Linked DNA regions of Lonchura striata. The protein of the gene in region 2 interacts with the protein of the main gene of each other region in a biochemical or structural test. Links are inferred from orthologs where the notes say so. Each region holds a gene or a part of one and is shown on either strand. Other genes may lie near its edges. The genes, in order: ROCK1 and LIMK2.

Region 1 (11,823 bases), on a different chromosome or scaffold from region 2:
TGATTTCAGTCAACATGATTTCAACAGCTATTTGGATAGGTACTTCTAAAGTAAAGGTACTTTTAGTTATTTACTTTTTATTTATTGTTTTTTAAAAATTTATTATCAAAATCTCTAATCACAAAGTCTTCAGGAGTGCTTTCTAACACATTTAACAGAAGGGAAATATGTCTAGTAACAGAGATATATATAGAACTCTAAATATCAAAGATGAGGAGATCATCTTGCCTTTTCCTATGCAAGACAGATGAACATTAATTAATCTAGCTGATGAAACCAACCTAGGAAAAACAGGTGAATCAAGCTCTGTAGCTATGCATTTCTGGTGCAACAAAAATGGAAATCTCTTCAGAGTAAATAAAACTAGTTTGTGATATGCTTTGATTTGCAGTGTTTACTGCTGTCAGTTATTTTGAAGACAAACTGCTCAATAAATGAAATATTTGACATCTTTGATGATTAAGACCAACAAAAGTGTGAAGTTTCTAAAATCAACTACCGAAGTAATTGACTAAGTACATGAATAATTTTAATATTATATTGTTATATATAAAAAGAAAATAAATATAATAACTCAGGTGCCTGTGTAAACCATGAAAACACTCTTCATGAGTTCCTACCTAAACAGAGAGAGCACCAAAATACATTTTCATAAAAAGTTACTAGTTATTTTAGAATCAAAACCATATGCAATTCCAGGTCAAAATATCCCACATCTAACACACTTGCTATACTCCTTAACTCCCCACTCTACAAAAACTGGAAGCCCATAAAGCCTAGAATTTACTAAAATATGGGTTCATTCCAAAAACTGTTGTAGAACCATGCTAACTGAACACTACTTTTCAGTATTTAAGCTCACTTAGCTCAAGGCCTTTGGGCCTACTCAACGCCCCTATGGAAATTACCAGGATCTGACCACTGCACACCCCACAGTGTGACCACCTCTCTAAAACAGCTTTCAGTCCTATTACATCTATTGGGGACTGTAGGACTCCTAGTACCAAATATTTTGAGAAAATGCACTACATGATGTTGTGACACATTGTCTATGCCTAAGTCAGGCTTAGAGCCTCCTCATGCCTCATCAAAAAAAAGACAGCTTATCTATGATTCCTATGCCTAGTACTACATCAAGCACATGGAAGCCCCAAAGAAACAAATCTTGTTACAGACAGTTGCAACTAAATTCATTTTCTTACTCTGTTTTTTATTACGGTTACGTAAGAAAAAACAGGAAAAGTAAATACATCTCTTTCCTGCACTTGAGCTTTATGAATTTCCTTCCTGCAGCATGTAAATCGAAGTTACAAGGCCCTCAGTGTGCTTTTTCCGCCTGCTTGGCTCTGTTGTCAGCACTCTTCTCCCACACCTTCCTCAAACGGTAACATCTTCCTTTGCATCAGGCCCCACCCCCATCTTCTTTTCTTAGAGTTCTCATACTATTTCACATATAAATTTAGAATCTTTCTAGCATACAGAACATAGCTTATGACAGTTACAAAGCCCAAAATGGCTACAAAGCTGATTTAAAGGTTATTCCATGTCTTGTCTCTTAGTCTATGAAGGCTACAAACTGATGGGGAAGAAATATAAGAGCAGAAGAAAAATGAAGCCAAGTTAGAGGAAAAAAACATCCTAAGAGAAGCCAAGAACATTGCTGAGACTTTTCATCATACAGTCAAAAAAAATGTTCCCTGAACCTAAATGAACCCCAGCATTTTAAACATATACATATAGAATATCAGATGTTGAAGTGTCTGTGTGTCTGCTATTCCTGTATTTCCACTCAGATACACACAGTTAGCTGCCACCTTTGCTTAGAAAAAGTCAAAGCAGTTGTAAGGAACATCAATGCACAACCTTAATCAAAGGTTAAAATATTTTAGATTTTTAAAGTTTTACTAGAAAGAATTTTTGTATGTAGTCATAAAAATATTATTTAACTTTCTTATTAAGTGTACCACGTCTAAAGTCTGTCAAATTTCCCTCTTTAACTGAGACTTGCAGGGAGGAGAATGGGAAGTTCATTTCAGAAGGTATTCAAATGCAAATCAATTACACCTACACCGAAGTATTTCTTCCTTAAAAGCATATCCATACAGATTTGAATGGATTTGATATATAAATAGTACTTTGGGCCAAGAATGATACTTGTAGTGTGAATCATCACATTAAGAACTGGTGTAAAATATTTAAGACGTTTAGAAAATGTTAGGATACTTATATTCTTCTATAGAAAAGACCCCAAGAACAAGTGAAGCAAAGTATATGTCCAGCCAGCAGTTAAGACTTATTGACCAAACACATACAAAGCTAGCTTATCAAGCTACTTCCTCAGAAGCAGCATTTTCTTTAATTGGTAATAATTTAAAAGAAATTTCCTAAGAAACTGTCACTTCAAAGGACCTTAAAATCTGTAATGTAAACACATGTTCAACAACTTTCAGCAAGCATGACAGGAAGAATCCCAGCAAGTTCATTCCCAAACTGACTACAGCTTAAGTTCCTAATCACAATTAAGATAACTGAAATGGGGCAAATCCTTAAACTGATTATAAGATTAAGGAATACAGTTAAAGATACTACCAACTGCATGTCTGATACCTGGCAATTCCTTCCTACCACTGTAGGAAGGTCCCCATACAACAGCCAGCAGCTCAGCACATACTAGCAAACTGAGCCATGGTTAATGTAAACTCTGGACTCTTAGCTAACTTTATATTCTTGCCACCTATCAATAGAACCTGGCTGTAAAAACGTCTGATAAGTCTCGAGGTATCAAAATTGACACACTATATTCTAAGAACCAGAGGTCTTTTCATTAGCTGTGGTTCTAAGATGACAGATAAGCAAAGCAGATCAAGAGAAGCAAATTAACTAGACGATGCAGTGCTGTTTTCCTTTGTGACAACAGCATCCACAATGTTCTGCTTTTATCTAGGGATGCAGGTTTGACCTGCCAACACTTCAGAAGCTCACAAACCTGTAATAAGTTAAAGAGAGTAAAAAATAATATTGTCAACTTGTACAGATTCTTGCATTATTCTTTTAATCTATTCACCGCCTGATGCTCAAGTAAGCTTTCTGCCAAGAACCATGCAGCAAAAAATGAAGAATGACTATTAAGAGCTATCTCCACCCCCACACCTCCCTTCCCTTCCAACCCCAAATGTCAGAGTTCATACGAGGAACAAATTCAATTTATTTGTTCCTCTCTCTAACAACAGAAAGCCAGGGAAAAAATACACTAAAGAACTTCCATCACTTGCTCCAAAGAAAATAAGCCCTCTACTTCAGTGCGAAAGCACAAATTACACTTTGGTACTATTTAAGGGTATTCCTAGGCATATCTAAGGACCCAGATGCATCCCCAACAAATTGGCTATATTTGGCATGCAGTTTACTGTGGTACTCAGTGAACTAAATGAGTACTAAAAGATCATCCAATTCTGTCAATCGGCTACCAAATGACGTTGGTTGGTTTTACATCAGGAAGTGTTATGGCTTGCTTTCCTATGATGCAGTTATAACACTGACAGCACTGGTGAGATGCAGCTATTAGGTACAATCAACTAGGGAAACAACAAACGAGCAGGCCTACCACAACCACCACTTTAAAATGCATTTAAACACCTGCCCCCACCTGTAAGGGCTTATTAACTGTGTTGTATGCGACCGTCAGCGCTGCAGTGCTTAACCACAGCATAAGAGGACCTCGGTCATTAAAAAAGTTGTTGGAGAGCGAACTGGTATCAAAGCTATTTGACGTCCTGTGCTCACACAGAGGAACGGCACTCACGAATTGCGCCTTTGTGGAAAGGCTCCAGCGCCCCTGTGACAGCCGGCGAGGCACAGAGCAGCGCTCGGAGCGAGAGATGACAAGCGTGAGGCAGGGCTGGGCAGGCGCCTCCTTGGCAGGAGCCGCTCTCCCGGCACACGGGCACACTCACCCACCCTCAGCCCAACGCTGGGTAAACAAAACACCAGCACGGAGCAGAGCAGGGCGGAGACTCGGCCAGGAGTGCGAGATTCGGTCCCACAGGGTAAGGAATTCGGGGAGACGTGACCGGGGGCCCATCGGCGCTCCGCACTCACCAGCAAACAGTCCACGTTCACTTCGGATTTGGGGTCCTTCAAAGTCACGTCGATTTTCTCAAACCGAGACTCAAAACTTTCTCCTGTCGACATGTTTCCGGAGTTAAAAAGTTTCCCTTATTCCAGAGCAAAGTTAAGGTTAAAAAAAAATTATAATTATAAAGTTAAAAAAAAAAAAAAAACACCAAAAAAAACAGGAACAGGGGAGCGCAAAAGAGAAACTGCAGCCTGTACCAGGCTGAGGAAGCGCCTCCTGCGAGATCCCTTCAATCACAAAAGTCTCTGGGGCAAGTCCCTGCAAAGGGGGCAGAGAATCCAAGGGGAGCCCGCAGCAGGCGGGGGACGAGGCTGCTTCTCCCCCCGCTCCTCCAGGCACGCACGCAGCTTCCCGGGATGCTCACAGCTCCGCAGCAGCAGGTTTCCTCTCCCTCCCTCCTCTGCTCGGGCCCCACCGCCTCAGCATTCCCATTTTCCCAGCCGGGGAAGCCGTCCTGGGCTCCAGCGTAGCGGTCCCTCCTCCTCGCCCCGCCGCTGCAGCGCCGGCGGGTCGGTGCCAGGTTCCGGAGCGCGGCTTTCTTTCCGGTGAACCAGAAGAAACAACAGAAGAGGGGAAACAAAAAAAAAAAAAAAAGAAAAAAAGAAAGAAAAAAAGACAAAAGCCTGCAGCCACACCAACAAGGCAAAAATGGATGGTAAAATAAAACTTAGAAGACCCCTCTCAGCGCCGTGGGTTCGCTCCGTCCGTGGGCACCGGGCGAGGAAGAGAGGAAGGCACCGGGCGAGTGCCCCCGCGGGCGGCGGACGAGTAACCTCACCGGCGGAACGGCCGCAGCAGCATCTTTCTTCCTCTCTCCTCGCTGCCTCCCGCCGCTGCCAACGCCGGTTCAGCCCCTCCCTCTCTGCTCCTCCGCCTCACGGACGTGATGGCAGCCCGGACCGCCTCAGAACCGACCCGAGGTTGCGGCGTGAGAGGGAAGGAAGGAAGGAGGTGGCTTAAGGGGAGGGGAGAGCGTGAGGTCCAGCGGCTTCAAGGGAACCTGCGAGATCCACCAACATGTCCGCCTTCCTGTTTGAACAGTCGGGACGGGGCGCGGGGCGCATGCGCGGGGGGAACGGCTCCGGTGCGGACGGGGACGGGACGGGACGGGACGGGACGGGACGGCAGGGGGCGCGCGCCTGGGAAGGAATCACAGTCACCGAATCCGTTGGGTTGGAAAAGCCCTCGGAGACCATCCGAGCCAACCTGTGAGCGAACACCACCGTGTCAACTAGACCAGGGCACTGAGTGCCACATCCAGTCTTTCCTTAAATACCTCCAGGGGCCGTGACTCCACCACCTCCCTGCACAGTCTATTCCAGCGTCTAATCGCCCTTTCTGTGAAGAAACTTTCCTAATGTCCAATCTAAACCTCCCCTGGCGCAGCTTAACGCTATGTCCACTGGTCCTGTTACTTGTTGTCTGGGAGAAGATGCCGACCCCAGCTGCTCACACCCTCCGTTCAAGTGGTTGTAGAGAGCCATAAGGTCACCCTTGAGCCTCCTTTTCTCCAGGCTAAAGACCCCCAGCCCCTCAGCCGTTCCTCGTGGGATATGCGCTCCAGACCCTGCACCAGCCTCGTTGCCCTGGTGAAGGAAAAAGCCGGAGAGGCGGGAGCGGGCGGAGGCAGCGCGTTCGGCCGGAGCCCGGCGCCGGTGCGGGCGCGGCGGTGGGACGCCCGGGATCCCCCTTCCGGGAGCCGCTGTCCTTGTGCGCCCGCCCCCGCCCGGCAGTTCCGCCGGGAATCGCGCGGAGCCCCGGGCCAGCGTCCCGCGGGAAGAGCTCCGCTTCCCGCCGTTCCCCGAGCCGTGGGGGGTGTTGCCGCCGTGTTTCCGCCCCGGCTCCCCGGAGGCGCCTCAGCGCTGGTGGCTCCCGCCGCCTTGCACGGCACGGGCACGGGGGACAGGTGGTAGGGAGGGTCACTCCTAGAGCTGCTGTGGGCTCCATCCTTGCGGATCTTCAAAAGCCAGGCCCTGGGCAGCCGGCTGTCGGTGGTCCTTAGGTGCTCCCTCACTGCAGATATTCCAGAACTGTATGGGTGCAATCCTGTGCTATGTGCTCTGGGATGATCCTGCTTGAGTAAGGAGATTGGACCACATTGCACAGTGTAGTACCTTTCCACCTTGACCTATTCTGTGATTCTGCAGTTCTGTCCTACCTGATCAGGAGGACTACGAGAAGCTGGCCTCCAGAGATCCATTTCAGTGGCAGCCACTCTGCCATCCTGTGTGTCCCAGGAAGGAGAGGCCAGCTTACACAGTGCTGGAAGTTAAAAGCATTCCCGTTTATGTCCAGTCAAGAGCCATGCGCAAGGTAGCATACCAAACACAGGAAGAATAGATACCAGCAGTAAATCTGTGCAGCCTGTGTTGGTGTTTCCAATTCAAACCTTACCTTGAGACCACAGCAGGGTCCTTTTCTTCAAATAAGGAAACAACTGTAGAATCCCTTAGGTTGGAAGGGACCTCTCAGATCATCCAGGCCAACCTCTGAACACCATCATGTCAATTAGAACATGCCACTAAGTGCTACATCCAGTCTTTTCTAGAACACCTTCAGGAATACTGATGCCACCATCTCCCTGGGTAGTCAATTCCAATGTTTAACAACCCTTTCTGTGAAGAAATTCCTCATAACATCCAACCGGATCTTCCTGTGGGTCAGCTTGAGACTTGAGCGAGGTAATGATTTCAAATATTACTGGACAGAGGCCACTGTACTGGTTCGGTTCTTCGACTTCCACTGCAGTTCCATAAATGGCAATGACATTTTTACTAAGATCACTATAAATTGCACAGAGATTGTCAGTTATTAATCTCTGGTCACTGAACAGTTGCCAGTAGCAAACCTGAATCATTAGCACTGTAAGTTATTTTCCATGTCATGGTTAGGAAACCAATTCATAGCCAAGTGTTAGAGCATTCGAGCTATTCAGTCCTGGATGTCAGTACTTGCTATCTTGCTTGATGCAGATAAAAATAAGAAATAGTATTCTACATTTTGCTTTTTCTTATCCACAGCTGCCTGCATCTTTGGTTTTGTTTTCTGCTGAGAAGTATCTACAGTTAAAGCAAAAATACAGGCTACAACAACATTTCCTGCTCTCTCGTTTTATGCTGGCTACTGCCACAGCCCTTTGATTCAGAGGGTTTGGTTGCTCTTGGAAATGCAGATGTTCCATTTGAGCAACCACAGTCCAAAGAGAACAATTCTGCAAGCTGCAGGGTGTAGGCTTGGGATCATTTCATAAGTGATACAGTAAGTAATTTCTAAAATACACAGAAAATGCTTCTTGCAGTCTTCATCTAAAGCAAGATGAAAATCATCACTAGAGATACAAAGCCTAATTCACAGTGCTCTTGGGCACCTGATTTAAGCATTAGGGATGATGCCAGGCTTCAGCAGGGTGATTTGAGGCGCCTGACTGAAAACAATGCAAAATTCATGAGCCTGTAATAGCGTATGGAAGAGGAAGCCTGAATCTGCAGTTTAGTGGGGAGGATCAGCATTGTGATCAGCAGGTGTCACTTATGTGTTTTATCCAATGTCTATGGGAAAACTTACAGATACTCCTGGAAATGCAAAACACCTTGCATGTCTCCAGACCTCCCTGAAACAAAGCTACATAGGTCTTGCTCCCTCTTGCTCTTTGCTTCTTTGCATTTTTTTAAATTTTTTTGACAGTGGCCCAGATTCAACACAGAAAGTGGAGAGAAGCACCATCCCATTGTTTGGCATCTTGGTGAATTCACAGAGACAAGAGGAGGGCATTGGACAGGCCCAGCCTCACATGGTTTTTTGCCAGTGAAGGATCTTGCCTCTGAAGCAGAACACCTGAGAACTTCTACCAGACTTTGTGGTAAGCAAAGCTACTGTGTTTGTGTTCATCTGTGTGCAAGATCTGTGTGTTTCAAACATGTCTGTCAGACTGGGCTTTTCTCACAACTGTTGTGGACTAAAAATGCTTGTTTGTCTGTCTCAAATAGAATAGAATTTGTGTGGGAGGTACTCATGCAGCTGTCTAGGAAACTCTGAGCACTACTTCAAAACTGTAAAAGGGAGGCTTTGGCTACCAGCATCAAAAAGGATAATTGATTCTAATTTTTAAAAGCAGGTATGGGTTAAGTGTCCAGTGTAATAAAGTACTCATGTTGTAATGTGAGAGTGTAATGTAATAGTTTTTAATCCAGAGAACACTCATTCACATGCTGGGATCTTAAAGACAGTTTTCACATACTTCAGTCAGACTATTTGTATCTATATGGTTAGGAACTTGCATATTTCTAGCATTGGCCCCTTAGAAATCATACAAATCCCCATCCTACACAACCAACTAGTGCACTGAACTTTTGAACATTAAATTTTTTTGGTTTACCTTCCTGATAAATAAACAAAAAATGGTTAATTTCTTCTTGTTGCTTTGTTGTGTCACATATTTTGGAATCAAACTAGCTTTTGTTGCATGAGATAGGAATTACTCAACATATACATGACCTGATAACACTGAGCTGATAAAGTATGCAAACGTGAAAGATCATTTTTTCTCTCTTCAAAAAGCAGAGGCTTTTCTCTCTTCAAAAGTAGAGACTTTAAAAGTCTTTAATTCTTGAAAGTGTCTCTAAGTAAGTTGATGGCTATACAAAGTAAACTAACAAACTGATAATCCTAATAAAAACAAAACCATGGCCCCCATATCCATATTCTCCTGCCTGTTTCATAAGATATTTAAATGTTCCTGCTTTTTCTGTGATACAAATTGATGCTGAATTAAAAACTGATTTTTTGGCAGAGATTGAAATTTCTCATTAAATACAGAATATCAGTAAACTGTAGAATGACTACACTGGCTTCCTCTAAACCATGATAAAATATTTATGAAAAGTACAAGTAATACTGTTTATTTTGCAAATAACATTATTATACATGAGAGTAATAAAACTGTGCATGTAAGAGGTTTCAGTAGTGCTCATTTCAGGAACATTTAGCAAACAGGAAGAACACAAGAGCAGTGGAATACTCAAAGCGTTGGCTCAGCCCTCTCTGAGCAGGTACTATTACTCCCATCCTCTTGTGAAAAAGCTAAAAAGAATTAAGCAAAAGAGCTTGTAATAAAGTCAAATGCCATTTAGATTTTTCAGGTCACTGAGTGTGCATTTTAAAAAGCATACACTCTCAGAATGAGAGAACAGGCTGGGACACCCATGTTCCTGAAGTAGTTACTGACTTCAGAAGAGTTGCACAAGACAGAAATGAGACTATATCCTGTTCACCATATTAGGTCAAGTTAGTAATGCAAGAGGTTCCCTCACATTCAGCTTCCAATTTAGTCAGCATGAAACCTTCAGCAGTTAAATAACATTATATTAAGCCTGCCTTTGGTCCACTGGCCTCTCTCCTTCTTTGCCCTGCAAAACTGGCTTAGTTTAGCCTCTGCTCTAGTCCTAGGAACAGTTAATAGCACAGGCCAGTGTGGCTTGAAGCCCTGGGATGAAAACTGGTCAACAAATCCAGTCCTTGGGCAAAATATTTTATCATTGCTAAAGCCCATCTGTGCAACAGGCTATTTGCAGGAGCTTCCTGCTTCAGGCAAGGTGTGATGGATGCTCAAGCAGACATATCTGAACTGACTCTGGGTAATGATAAAGTCTAGCATTGGTCTCAGTGTGCTTGCAAAACCTGAAAAATAAAGGCTGTGTTAGGTAATGAATGCTGGTGGCTGTAAGTAGCTGATTTAAAGCTGAAGTCAAGGCAGTGACACACTGCAGCCCCCTCACCTCCCTTGGGAGTTCACCTATGCATTGTAAAGACTCCTCAGGGAATTGCAGCTGAAAGCTTGCAAAGTGCTCTGAGCAGTGAACACATTAAAATGCCCTATGAATAAGAGAGAGAAAGTAAAAAAATTAGAGAGATATTAGTCATAATTTAGTATGCTGATAAATCATCTTGGCTCTTGATGAGGCAAAACATAAGACCTAGAACAGAAATAGAATAGAAGCGGCCTAGGCAATAAGAACTTCTAGCACAAGAAAACACTTTTGCAAATAATAGATGAAAAGAGAATTTCCTATGAGTAGACTCAACCAAAGCAGTATCTTTCAGATGTTTAGCAAACATATGTTTGTCATTGAAACAGTGCAACATATAAATATGTTTTTCCCGCATGTTTCCTGCATGTTTCACCAGATTTAATAAAGGTGCGAGGCTCCAGGCATGTGGCCTTTCCTGTTCCAATATATCCCACCTTCCCAGCAGAGGGTAGCTGCTGCTGTTCACTATTACAGTGCATTTTCAAGCACAGTAGTACTTGTGCTGGAACCCTGAGGAGAACTTGCTCCCACTGCCTGTGAGTGGTGAGTGATGAGTAAAAAATGGGGCACCCGAATCTGAATCTTTGTTGTATGTTCTTGAACAAACTAGAAGTAGTGGGGGAAAATCACCTTTTGGAAATTAATGGATCAGTTTGATGGAGAGGATCCGGTCTGAAAATAAACTTCTGCAAGGGAGGAAGTAAACTGGATGGCATTGTCTGTTCCAGTGCAAACGCAGATGTGTTTGCTGCCAGCAGACAAGGGCATCGTTGTATAAACAGCATAGACACTCCCAAAGTAACTCCTGTTCTATCTGCAAAGGAGGGGAGCTGTGAGCCCAGAGATAGATAGCAGCTCCCATATCTGGTTACCATAAGGCTTAGGCCAATATCAGCCACAAGTGCATATACAGCAGAGGCTCCCTCTGCTTTTATGCTTTAAAAGTGCAAAAAACCAAATCGTTTCACCAATGTATGTCGAACGTTCACAAACTGATTTGAAATCAAATCAAAATTCCACTGGAATGCTGAAATCTTCATACCCTAGTAAGCCCCATTTCTGTGGCAAATACTATCTTCCCGTTAAAGCCACTTGATGGATACAGAAAATGTCAATTTGCCAGAAATTCTTCCATGGGAAAAAGCTTTTTTATTTTCACTATCCCAAGGCTTAAAAATGGCCCAAGTACTTCTTGTTGGAAATCTTCGAAAAGCCAAACAAATTCAACTTGTAAGTCAACAAAAAACTGTGGAAAAATATTGCCTGAAAAAACAAAGGTTTCAGAAATTTAAGAGTATATTAAAGCAGGAGCCAAAAAGTAATCTTCTGATGGTCATACACCAGGATATAAACAGAAATAATACATCATTTGTGTCTATATATTTACATTATATAAATGGATATAGAAAGAAATTATTTCCATTAAAAGTAGAGCGATTATCATCATTTTAGACCTCTTAAAAAATTAATCCAATTTTCTACACTGCTATTATCTTGTGAATCATCAATGAGATTAAGGAGTTTTCTTCTTATTTCTCCAGTTCGTAACCCTAAGTGCTCTCTCCTAAAACAATTTTCTCCCATTCCACCTTACTCCTACTTCCCTGACATACACATATCACATTTCCTGTGGTTGGATTAGCTTTGTAGTCCTTGCTCAAATAGTTCTTCTGAAGACAAAAAGTTAAAAGTAAACTAGGCTGAGTTTAAAAGTAAACTAGCTTTGATTACTCTGGTTTTGTTTTTATGTATGCTGTCCTAAATATCTACACTCCTTGTAAATGCTTTTCTCTGATGAGGACTATGACAAATCCATAAAAAGCCATGTTTTTTATCTTGGGCCTGGGAAATATGTAACAGTTTCATCCCTTAACAAGTAAT
Region 2 (12,192 bases):
CTGGAGAAAAAGCTAAGTCTGCTAAGTGCAGGGCTTCTGCCTTGTTCGAGGGACTGATGGGAGACACAATCTGCTTTCTGACAGGGGAAGGCTATATGGATAGCAGAAGCAGGGGAAAAGGCTTGTTTTTCATGAACATGGCTAGAAGAAATGGATTTAAATTGCAACACGGGATTTCTGAAGACAGTAGAGAGAAGGTTCTAACCCCGAGGATAATGAAGTGCTAGTAGACAGTCTGGGAGACCAAAGTCCTACAGTCACTGGAGATTGTTAGATGACCAATTCCTTGATCATCCCTAAGCCACAAAAATTACTTGCTTCAAAGGTAAGTTGATAGTAGATATACTAAAAACAGAAAACAGATTTATAAAAATACCCTTAGAAATAATCCAGTTTATCCTGCACTCCCAGACCAGGTTTAATTATACATAGTCTTCATACAAGTTTGTCTGGATTGCTTTCCCCTGCCCCTAAATGTAAAAGGAATCAAAGTGATTTACTAAGTTTTGCTCAGAAAAAACCATTTCAGTAGCCCACAAAATACGGCATTCAGTATAGAAAAATCACATTTTGAAAGACAATCAAACCACTAGAGCTGGGAAATTAGTAGTGTTTCTCTTTCTGTTCAGTAGGGTGGAGCTTAGGGCACCCCTTGATCCATGGATAGCAAATCCACTCCTCTTCAAACTCCTGATGATTTTTCAGCTTTTACTTAACTTGTTTGGGTATAAAAAAACATGTATATTTTAAATCTGTGACTGTAAAATCACCACAGTAATCCATCACCTTTTGCTACTTTTGAAGATATACTGTGAACATTTTTTCTGGCTTTGGCTTTTAGCTGAGATCTCTGCAGCAAGCCAGTGTTGCTTGGCTACTTAAATTAGGTTTATTTTATAGACCACAGTACTAGACATGCTCTGTTATTTCATGGTTAGGAAGGAACTGAGCCTCAGCTGTCTTCCTTCCTAAAAAGTGCTTAAGCACCCTGCTACAGTAGGAATTCCTGCCAGCATTTCCAATTATTTTCTTCCTATGCGTCCATTTTCCACCTGGATGTAGTCTACAGGCTTGATCTGAATTTGTGGTTTTCAAATAATCAAAACTGGATTTTTAACAAATACCATGTCCTTAAGATAAAGCCACACAGCTATGTCTGGGTCTTCTCATTCCATCCTACTCCAATTCAAATACACAGTATCCCTACAGAAAGTGAGGATTGTCTCTAATTTCATTTGTCATTAACTACAGAAAAGCAACACAAACCACCAAAAATAAACACTGGTAATAATACTTTATTCAAAAGTATAATTCAAGGCATTACCTTCTATTTTGCAATATGGAAAAGAGTTGGATCAAAAACAATAAAACCAGCAAGCTCTTGGTCAAAAAAGCTCTTCCAATAATCCCCTGAGGTAAAAATGATCCAGACCTAGGAAAAAAATACCTTTTCACTTCTATCTTTCCCTTTCTTGGTGTAATGTTTGAAGTTCTGTGCAATGAAATTTCCAAATCCAGTCAAACTGTGAAAAGCAGTGACCTTTGATAGAGTGTGCTGTCTCAACTGAACTCAGAGGCACAAAAGCACATTCAGAGTTAATTCACAACAGACACTGTGACAGAAACATTTAAGAAACTTCCTCAGCCAGATCCAACCCATCAGATTCAAGCCTAAGGAACAGGCTGGCCAAAGAACAGTCTAAAATATCCAAGATCTACAAACAGGGATTTGCTCTTCTCTCAAGCCACAGCAGGGAAAATGCAGGATTCAGAGACAAAAGCTCCTGTACATGCAGTTTGAGGAAGGAGGGAAGTGACAAAAACTTAAATCCTCGGAGACGCTCATGTACGTCAGCGCCAAGCCTGACCAAGAATAAACAGAGCTAACGAGCCTGGAGCAGTGCCAATCAGCATTAGAGAAATTATGTGCCAGGCCAGGGAGTCAGCTAATCCACAGGAAGACTGCAAAAAACACTCCACAAGAGCTGCCGGAACTCACAGCTACCAACTGCCAAAGCCTCCTACCCGTAGAGGCTTTTTAAAGTTTGGCTTTGGGATATCAGGCATAAGACTGCTGCTCAGCATGGCTTAGGGACAGCAGAAGAAAAGGAGGAGCACAGTGTAAACTGGAAACTTGTTTTCATGTACAGTCCTACCCTGGAACTAGGAAAAAGGGGAGGGCAGCTTCCTTTCCTGCAGGTTCCAACTGTTCACTGAGCACAGCAGCCTCGCTGGGTGCTGGAGCTCACCAAAAGCACAGAGCAAAAGAAGTGCATCAGCAAATACAAAAAGTGACTACACTGCTCAGAGAAAGGTTGGTGTCATCGCTTGCATCAAACAAACCAGCCCAGAAGCAACAAACAAACCTCCATTATACACTATAACCTATGAAAACAAATCCTCTGTGAAGTGTCCCAAAGGCAGGATTTGCCTCCAGCTCAGCTGTTCCTTACCTCAACAGCTCCAACAGCAAGAAGTACCACAACATTTACAAATCAAGACCCACAAGAGAAATACATTCAATGGCAAGAGGGACAGATTTCCCAGCACACACAGCTTGGGGTTTGGCTACTGGCAGAATCTAGGGAAGCTCAGCAGGATACTCATCCTTCAGGGAAAAGAGAAAACCAGGATTAAGACAAGCTGCTTCATTATGGCTAAACATGAACACTAAAACCAACAGAAATCCGAAATACTGGGACTTGTAATGAAATCAAATGTTATTGTGATTATTAATGTGTCACTAAAACAGCATTTTCTGAGTGAACTGAGCCTGCATTGCTTTGGCAGCATGAGATGCTTTATTTTTTTTAAATATACCAATAACCACAATCAACCTTCAACAAAGTTGGGGTATTTTGTTGGCTTCTTTTTTTTTCTGTTCTTTAAACGAGGACAATAGATGCTTATTTTGGCACAAAAAACATTCCTCCAAAGCCACACTTTGGCTTCCTTTTCTCCCCACTTTCTTTAACAATAACGAAACATTAGCCTCCCCATATTCAAACCAACAGAGAAGCCAGTAGAAGCTGGAGGTACTCAACCTCTTTCAAAAATACAGACCCCTTCAGAAATGTGATTCTGGAGCATGAAAACTGGACTGAATATTCATGGAAAACCAAAATGGTATTACTCCTACCACCACGAAAAAGCACAGCAGATATTCCTTTTTGTCCTTGCAGACAGCAACATTATCTAACAGATTTCATAAATTTGTCTTAAGAGTCTGCAAAGGAGAGAAAGCAAAAGGCAAGATCTCTGTCTCTTCCCTCCTCTCTATCAGCACCCTGATAACACCCTTGCACCTACCACACAATGAAAAAGTAACAGGCTGTGCAAATTGCCTGGGCACTACTTTGGAATGCTGCAGAAGACAAACATGTAAGCCATGGCTTCTGCCACCACCAGTAAATCAGAGCTTTTATTTGCACTTTATCTGTATCCCGTTTGCGTCAGCGCAGCCGTGCTGCCAGGCAGTGTCAGCTGCTCTCAGGACTGGATGCTGTCCCTGGGGTACAGCACAAACGAGCTCGGAACAGGTCAGGCACAGAGATCACTGTAGGAATTCCCAGCTCATGCTGGTACTTCACCACCAGCTCCCAGGCAGTGGAACAACACAAGGAGGGTTTAAAGGCTGAAGCTTCACCTACCGGAAACAGGAGATGTGCCAAGCTTCATTGACAGTCTTGTGGAGGCGCTGCCCAGCAGCAATGCTGTCCCCACATCCCAGGCATCTCCAGACTTCTTCACCTGCACGCAGCAATAAGGGGACAAACAGCAACCAGTTTACACCAGAGAAAACAAAGATTGGTACATCTTTCATAAAGAACAATCTTAAGTAACTGACAGGAAAGCCTTCCCACATGGAAAGCTGCAGGAAGTCTATAACCCCAGAGTGGGAACTCCCAAATCAAACTCTGATATCTTGTATATTTTTTTCCCCAGACATGACATCTCTTTCTTCACATTCTGCAGAAAAGAAGACTATGACTTTTCACATAAAACAGCTCAGTTACAGCTCTGTCAGAGCAGAGATTTCAGGAAGGCAACACTGGTCTAGTACAACAATTCCAACAGAGAACCATGCTAGGCCAGGAAGACACGCTACTGCTTCCCCCACACCACTGACTCAGCACAAAACATTTGCTCGCATTTGTAGAATTAACTGGATTTCCCAGAACTGAAAGAAAGGAAAGACAAACTTCTTTCAGTAGAGAACAAGTAGACTACCAGGAAGGAATTACACTCTTGAATGAATAATCCCATAGAGACTGTACAGCCAACATCAGACTACCCATCAGACTTAGAAAGGGGGAGTTATGCTACTGGCCTATTGCCCTTTCAGAAAATACTTATAAAAGTTATAATAGAGCTATAATAGTTTTTGCTAGAACTGCCAGAAAGCCCCAGAGAGAGCTGGTTACTTAGATGCAAGCAAGCTAGAAAAACAGAATGAAAGCTTGTGCACAAAGAACATTTGGCACACAGATAAATGGTATCCAAAATCCCAAGGGCAGTGCAGGCATATTAAAGAGTCAAGAATCTTAGTTCAGCACAGGATGGCACAAGAAATGTGTCAGAGAGCTGAAAAGATCCCAAACCTGTTTCTTCCTGCTACTAACAGTTTCCTTGTAGCAAGGCAGCATTAAAGAAAAAGGTGCACTTAGAAAAGCAAACCACAAACCACGGACTTCCCTTTTCCAAAGAATGGTACAACTTGGTAGTTGCTTAGGCAAGTTCATACCACTGTTAAATTCCCTGAAGCTACACAAAACAGAAGCCATCAACTTTCCATGCACCTTTACCCCACCGTCTAGGTCAATGACAATGTTTAAAATTAACTAGGGTGAAGATCTTGCACTTTTTACATAAATAGCTATTTCAGGGAAAAAAAACATTTGCTGCTCAGCTACAAGCACCACTATCACCAGCAGAGCAGCAGTACCCAGGAAGGTCTCCATAAAGATGTAAGGCTCAAAGGGTTCCTTCAAATGTGACTGCTACTTCAGTCCCTAAGTGTGCATCAGCACCACACCTGGATCACCTGCCCCTGTGCCCTTCTGCTAATCCAGAACACCAAGAACTGCACCTGAGCTCACACCTGCACAGTAGAGTAAAGGCTGGGAGAACCTTGGAAAAACCTGATCCTATCCATGTTGTCCCATAAAGGAAATGGCTTTTCAGTGCACCAAACGGGCTTGGGAATAAAAGGCAAAGCTCCGTGTGCCTGTGCCTCCATGCACAGGCAGCCAACGCTCTCCTCTCCAAGCAGGGCAAGCCCTGGAAGTCAGCTGAATTTCTGAAATAGCTGCAGGCCAAAACTACCTGCAAACCAAACATTCTGCAGCTCCATCCCCTCCCATTCAGTGTCACCAGCACAACACACACGTGTAAAAACTGTCTGTGGATCCTACTAAAGATATTTAAAGATCAACTATTACACCATAGCTGACCAGAAGCAACAAATTATTCCCCGACCATCTTACAGAATCTGACCCATCGGCTTCGGAACTCCACGAAGAAACTACACCTACTCTCAGCTGCAGTGCTACATCTCTTTAAGTGTACCCAGGAAGGCTGATTAGCTCACAAAGGGAAACGAACAGTCCTCAATCCAACAGAAATTGCTTCAGTATGCAGGAGAAACGACGGAAATGAAGAAAACAGAGCAGGAAACAGTGCGAAGGAAACGCAAACGGACATAATCCATGTAACAGGTCTGTCGAGTTTCCCAGACGGGAGGAATGTGTCAGAGACGGCCAGCGAGGAGCAGCCGCCGTGGCCCCGGCGGACACCGAGCGGGACAACGGGGACGGGCTGAGCGGCACCGGCGGCCCCGCGGCACCGGCGGCCCCGCGGCACCGGCGGCCCCGCGGCACCGGCGGCCCCGCGGCACCGGCGGCCCCGCGGCACCGGCGGCCCCGCGGCACCGGCGCTGCACGACCCGGCCGGCTCCGGCCGCCCCGGGGGGGACGCGCCGCGTCTCCCACGGCCGTCCTGCGGATCTCAGTGCCCCGGAGACCCGCCGGGAACCCCCGGGAACCGGCGGTGCCACCGGCCGGAGGGAGCCGCGGGCCGGCCCCAGAACGCTCCCCAGCCAGGGCTGACGTCCGGCCGGCTCCGGAGGCAGCGGCCCCGTCGAGCCCCGCGCCCCCGCCGATGCAGCGGCGGCCGCCCCGCGGCGGCGGAGCGCGGCTCCTCCCGCGGAGGCGCGGCCGGCCCGGCCCGAGCTCACCTGGCAGCGCCTCCATCCCGCGCCCGCCGCGCCCGACGCCAGCGGCCGCCGCCGCACCTGGGCCCGCCTCTGCGCGGCGCCGCGCCCGCCCCCGACCAATCGGCGGCGCCCTCTCCGCGCCCCGGCCAATCCCCGCGCTGCCCCGCCCCGCCCGCCCCGCCCTTTCCGCGCCGGCGGCCAATGGCGGCGCCGCCCGCCCGCAGCCCCGCCCCGCACGTGCCCGGCGGGCGCGGCCCCGCTCCCGCCCCCGAGGCAGCGCAAAGGAACGGCGGCGCACTCCGCTCAATGTAAAACCATTTTTTAATTCTAAATCACTTTCACAACAGTGAAAATTAGTGAGGAGCAACGGTAACGCACTAACCGAGCCGTCCGGGCCGTGTGCGGTCAGGTTACGGGAAGGGGTACATACAAAAGCACACCAGGGAAAGGGGGAACCAAGCGTTAACACTTTTAGACTATTTCATCCTTGAATTGCCGGAAAATAAGAGCTCTCGGTCATGCTTCTGCAGCCTTCTCTAAATCCATTATCTCTCTCACTCCTAGATGGAAATTCCCCATCCCCAATCCATTAAAATTCTGGTTTTTAAAATGTATTAATTAAATATATTTCAGTACCTCTTGAATCTATTGCAGTCACTTCTCTATCCTCTTTACGGGATAAAGGCTTCTCCTTCCTGCATAACCTCTCAGCATCGAGTTTCTCCGTACAAAAGGAGAAGGAATCCATCTCTTACTGTCACACAAACCTTCCCTTCCCATCAGCAGGTGGTGCTGACTGCGCAGGAGAGGAAGCCAAAGCTGCGACATTGTAGGACAACCAAACAAAACAGCCTTTCCTCCTGGGAAGGGCCCCAGTTACCAAGTTACACACTTGAGAAGAACCCTATGCCAAAGTTCAGCTACTCAGAAGTGTCACACAACAAAAGCTGAAGCACCACCTCAACTATAAATAGTTGAGCAATATATTCTATCAGATTATCATTAAGTCAGGTATAAATCTGACGTGACAAAACACTGCAGAAGCTTTGCAACATTCTACTTGCCAGATGGAATTTTGGAGGTAGGCAAGTTAAACTTCAGTCATACTCTGCCTTGACACTAAAAGGAAACAGTTTATAATTACATAAATAAACTTCTATAACAATTAATTAAAGGTGTCCTGCCCAGGAAACACTTCCATATGCTAAAAAAATCCCAAGATATTGAAATGAAGTTTCTATTAATTGATTTGCTTTTCAGTTTTTCTGTCTACTGCCAGGGAAGTCACAACATTCATCTTGCAGGAAATCATTATGACTATGAGTGGCCGGAATCAAAAAAATCTATAGACAGTAAGAGGAAAAAAAATGGAATTGCCTAGTCAGAGAAATATGAACTGTTCATCTTGCTAGGGACTTTCTCATACCTGTTTTGAAGGAATCTACACAAATACATCAGGAGTACTCTTTAAAGCTGGATACCCAACAGGATCCCAAAGCGGCTGCAGATTGCTCACCTTCTGAAATATCCCCTCAGCACATTAATGGTTGTGGTCTCCTCCAGCACTTCAAATTAAAATCTTTGGTAGATTTTAGCTGCAGAGACTCTTGCGCTGTAGTTCTGCTGTGGCACGGGAGAAGGTCTGCGTGCATCTGCAGAGAGAAGGTCTTCCAAATGTTCCCTACTGAGCATGTGCTGGCAAAGGCAGGATCTCATGTCTCCTCCTGTATAATTTTACAGTATGACAAGTTTTACCTCAAAACTCATGTAAAGATGCCTTTTGTTCCTCTCCCCAAACAAGCTGATCTCAGATCTGTAATAGGATTTTATCTGGAGTACATGACCTTCTGTAGAAAGTCTCAAAGCCTTGAGAAAGATAAATGTTGCTACAGTGACGAGGCTGTGAGGGGATTATCCACGGGTGCAGCCACAGGTGCTGCACAGAGCTGGGGAAGACAACACTGTTTGTCAGTGAGGAACTGGGCTGGGTCCAGCAGCCCCACCTGGCTCCACAGCCAGAGAATCTTCCAGTGGATGGCTCCAGCATGCTTAGGCTTTAAAAAATTGCAGCATAAATATGTATCCCTTCTTCTAACAGCCATCAGAACCATTCAGGAAGGGTTTTCCATCACACCAGGAAATAACAGGCGGAAAAGAAACCAGTCTCCAGGCCTGGTTCCGTTTGCATCACGTGCTGTGCCCCAGAGAGTCTCAGCAGTGCTGCAGATGATTTCCTGGAGAAGGTCAGATGTTGATGGAGACATTAAATAACATCTGCAGCTCTGGCAGATCCATCGTGGTTGCAAAGCAGGAGATACTGGTGACACTGAAGAAGTTTCCTTACCTGCCCAGTCTGCGCTGGGATAACTGTGTATCCCACAGACCTGGTGTCACTGATTGGCACAGGATTTCAAAGCAGCACTCCCTTTCGGAGTGCAGCTCAACGCTAGGCCCATGGTTTGTGGCAGGAACCTGTTGTACAACATATCTGAGCTGAAATACATTTTTAAACCAATGTTTTAATTACCAACTCTGGTGCAAAATGTGAGATTCCTCATTGTGCTGTGGTACCACCAATTCCTGAAGCCCATAGGTAGCTATGGAACCAGACACCAAGAGGTTTAAAATGGGATGGGGATGCAGTTTGTAACTGTTTCAGTGGCCTTGTTGGTCATGAATATATATAATAATGGAAAAGATTTATGCAATCAACAGCCAGAACATTATCACCAGTGCCACAAACAGGAAGAGGCGGGAAAGGAACTGCTCATCCACATATTGAGGAGTCCCTGGAACAGCTGGAAAACAGGAAGTAAAAAAAACAAACAGTTCAGCTCCTTCCTTTTCTCTCGGATTGTGTATATTCTGAATATAGTATATTCATACATTGAAAAATATGCAAAGGATTTGCTTGGTGAGAAAAGTTGCTACTTTCTACCCTCAGCCTGGCTGCCTGTATGGGCAGATCAGAAGGAAGACAAGTATCTTGAAGCAGGATTCCTTAGTTCAGTCCCACCCCCAGCAGATTTTCAGGGGACACTGAACTATAGCTAACAGGGAAAATAATTTGACCTAAGGACAGCACAGGACCATGGCAACGCTGGTGTGATGTGAAGAATGAGTTTGTTCCTCATAATTCCCGTGCCATATGACATGGTGGAAGATTTGCCAGGTATAACCTTTCACAAAATAAGTTCACAAAATAAGTTCACAAAATCCTGGGCAGTAGGCATTCTTGTTCAAAACAGATTCAGTCTGTCTACAGTGAAGATAGGGAGGAGGTTCTCTAGGGATTACTTCATTGTTAGAGAGCAAGGTCACCCCTTGGAATAATCCAACTGTTTTTTCTTAATCAAAAACGTGAAGTAATTTCACTGGAAAGTTACTTCTTGTAGAATACAGATGACTGTCTCAGATAAATTTCTGGAAAATGAACAATCTTTGCATTTATAATTTGGTGGTACAGAGCACCAGTTTAAATTTTTCCTTCTCATCTTTCAGGAAATGGTACTTTCCTGCTGTTTTTAAAACTGGGTCTCCTTCATACACCCCTAGTGACTCCTTTTTATTATTATTAGAAAGTCTAGTCCAATTTGTCACATTTTTCAGGAGAAGTCTGCTGGTGTACCAGAGGAGACATCTGAATTAGAGGAGAGTAGTCTCCAGTGCCACTGTTTCTCTGCAGTCACTGGTCTCCCAGGAGGGCCTTCAGCAAATTATATAGAAGTGACAAACTTGCTCTTTTATAAGTCTGTGTACAAAACATACCAGCCACAGACCACGTTCTGTACAGAGTGTTTCTGCCCTCATTTAGTGGTTCTATTGACAACACTGGTTACTGCTCAGAATATTTTGCCATTTAGCAGGTTATTTAAGAGTTTGTAAAATGTCTGTCTGTGATGGGGCAGGAGAAGGATCCGTGGTACCTGGAGGAGGTCGCCCGTCGTTTATGTTGAAGGCTGTTGCGAATATACCAAAGGGAAACGCCCCAATTCCAAACGACATCTGGAAGCCACCATCACCAAACCCAAAGCCCTGGAATCCCTGCAGAGAACAAAGAACAGAAGACAAAAAAGGGACTCACTTAGAGCCTATTTCAGAGTATTTTGTGGATGAGCAGATATTCCCTCTCGCTGGCTTTGCCATGGCAGAAGGAGGGTCACGCTGTCTGGCAACTTTCAGTCTGACACACTTTTGTCCAGATCCCCCCCTAGGTCTCCTGGGTTAAAATGTTTCAGACAGCAGCAAATTCACCGAGCAACCCAAAGGTTTGAGAAAATGAAAACTAGCAACTGCAGTTCTTGCTTGAGGGCCACAAATTAGGACAGTGTTTTTCAACTGTAACCTTTCTCAACTTAAAGTAGTATCTGCCAATGTATCAAAATCACCAGGAGGAATTCTACTTAGAATGTCTTAACAATGTATCGTGTGTTAACAGCTGTTAGCCATATAAGAAAGGTACTCAAGAAAATAACCTAAACTGATATTTGTGATACATGTGCATCAGTTAAATACTCAGTGAAATTATAAATTCCCAGTGGGATGCATAGAGCATTTGAAGGAAAACCACAAAAAAATTTACCATGGGAACTCAAATTAAGGTGGCAAAATAACCTGGGGCAGGAATGCAAGATATAAGGAAAGGATGAAATAAAGGAAGTTACAATGCAATAACACTGACCTTAAGCGATCCAGACTGAAATACCGCATCAAGTCAAAAGATAAGTGCTCTGAATTGAGATGAATCCTGCTCTGCAGAAGCAGTGTGCTGTTTGATACTGACTGTGTGTGAATCTAGGGGCTTTGTGTCATGACTAAACACTGTGGAGAGCCCACAGCTCTGTAATCCAGTAAACTGCCCTCTCACCTCAGAATTAAAACAGTGATACCAGTTCTGAAAGACCCTCTGGTTTATCACCACCAGCAATGGGAGGACAAAGATGGTTTTACTTATACAATAAAAGTCAAATGTTTCTTGGTTGACCCTTGATTTGAGGAGTTGGTCTTTTGACCATACTCTCTTCAAACATTTTGCCACTAACTCTGGGGACAGCAAAGCTCTCTGTGGCAGATACAGGATATGAAGAGAATAGCATCACTACTGTCCTGCCTTCACACCCCATCCCTCTGATTTACAGCAGCACCACCTGAAAGGTTCAAGTAAGGTACAGGAGCTGATTTAATAAGGCAGCAATGCTCTAGTGAGAGAGAACAGCTGAGCTCCCAATACATTCAATACAGAAATGCACCTTAATCACACCCTGCAGAGTTGTTTGCTTGAAGCATGAGGGAGACAATCCTCTCCAAGGACCCCGGGCTGAGTTACATGGAAATGTGCCATTGTTTCATCAGGTCATGCTTGCTGCCATCGTGCTGAAGAACGCTGTGGTCTGTCCTACCGCCTACTCCCACGTCTGCTCCATCTGTGCCAGCTGCTGTTTACATTCACCCTATGTAATCTCCTCAACAAAACCACTGATCCCTCTTCAAATTAACATGCATCCAACAGATATCAACTTCCTCTTGCTTGTAATGCCATGGTACAGTAACATCCCGTCAAAATGAGAGAAGCAGGTGTCAGTGTCAAAAAATCCAAATTAATACGTGGATTAATTAATGACACGTATGTTTTGACAGAAATACACTTGCACAACGAATTTTCAAAGCAAAGTGTTCCTTGTATTTAAACATGGAAAACAATCAAGCATTAAAAGCTTTTCCAGTGATACTGCACTGGGCTGCATTCATGAAGCATGATCCAAGATGGGTTGTTCTTTGGGATGCTAAAGGGTACCACAGGAATGGAGCTCTCTGCCACACCACAGCTACCAATGATTCATGAACAACCAGCTGGGGAAGCTGCAGGATCCTCATGCAGGTTCTCTCACACGCATTATGTCCTCCAGGATGAATAAATACCACTATCAATGAAAAACAACTAAACCACTCAAGCTTGTTGGATCACTTACCCCTCTGTT

The links.
Region 1: of the proteins of LIMK2 (region 2) and ROCK1, one has a biochemical effect on the other in vitro, tested with the Homo sapiens proteins (2 studies listed by BioGRID). The link is inferred for Lonchura striata from reciprocal best matches to the Homo sapiens genes LIMK2 and ROCK1.

The regions. Positions count from the first base shown.
Region 1 is NC_134603.1:47,964,883-47,976,705, reverse strand, and holds the start of ROCK1 (rho-associated protein kinase 1), read right to left. Parts: upstream 5,125-11,823; 5' UTR 4,192-5,124; coding exon 4,099-4,191; intron 1-4,098. UniProt on the Homo sapiens protein: Protein kinase which is a key regulator of the actin cytoskeleton and cell polarity.
Region 2 is NC_134620.1:4,574,758-4,586,949, forward strand, and holds the start of LIMK2 (LIM domain kinase 2), read right to left. Parts: upstream 6,299-12,192; 5' UTR 6,252-6,298; coding exon 6,236-6,251; intron 3,751-6,235; coding exon 3,651-3,750; intron 1-3,650. Other genes in the region: E3 ubiquitin-protein ligase RNF185, read right to left, coding at 8,915-9,012, 10,141-10,258, 12,184-12,192. UniProt on the Homo sapiens protein: Serine/threonine-protein kinase that plays an essential role in the regulation of actin filament dynamics. Acts downstream of several Rho family GTPase signal transduction pathways.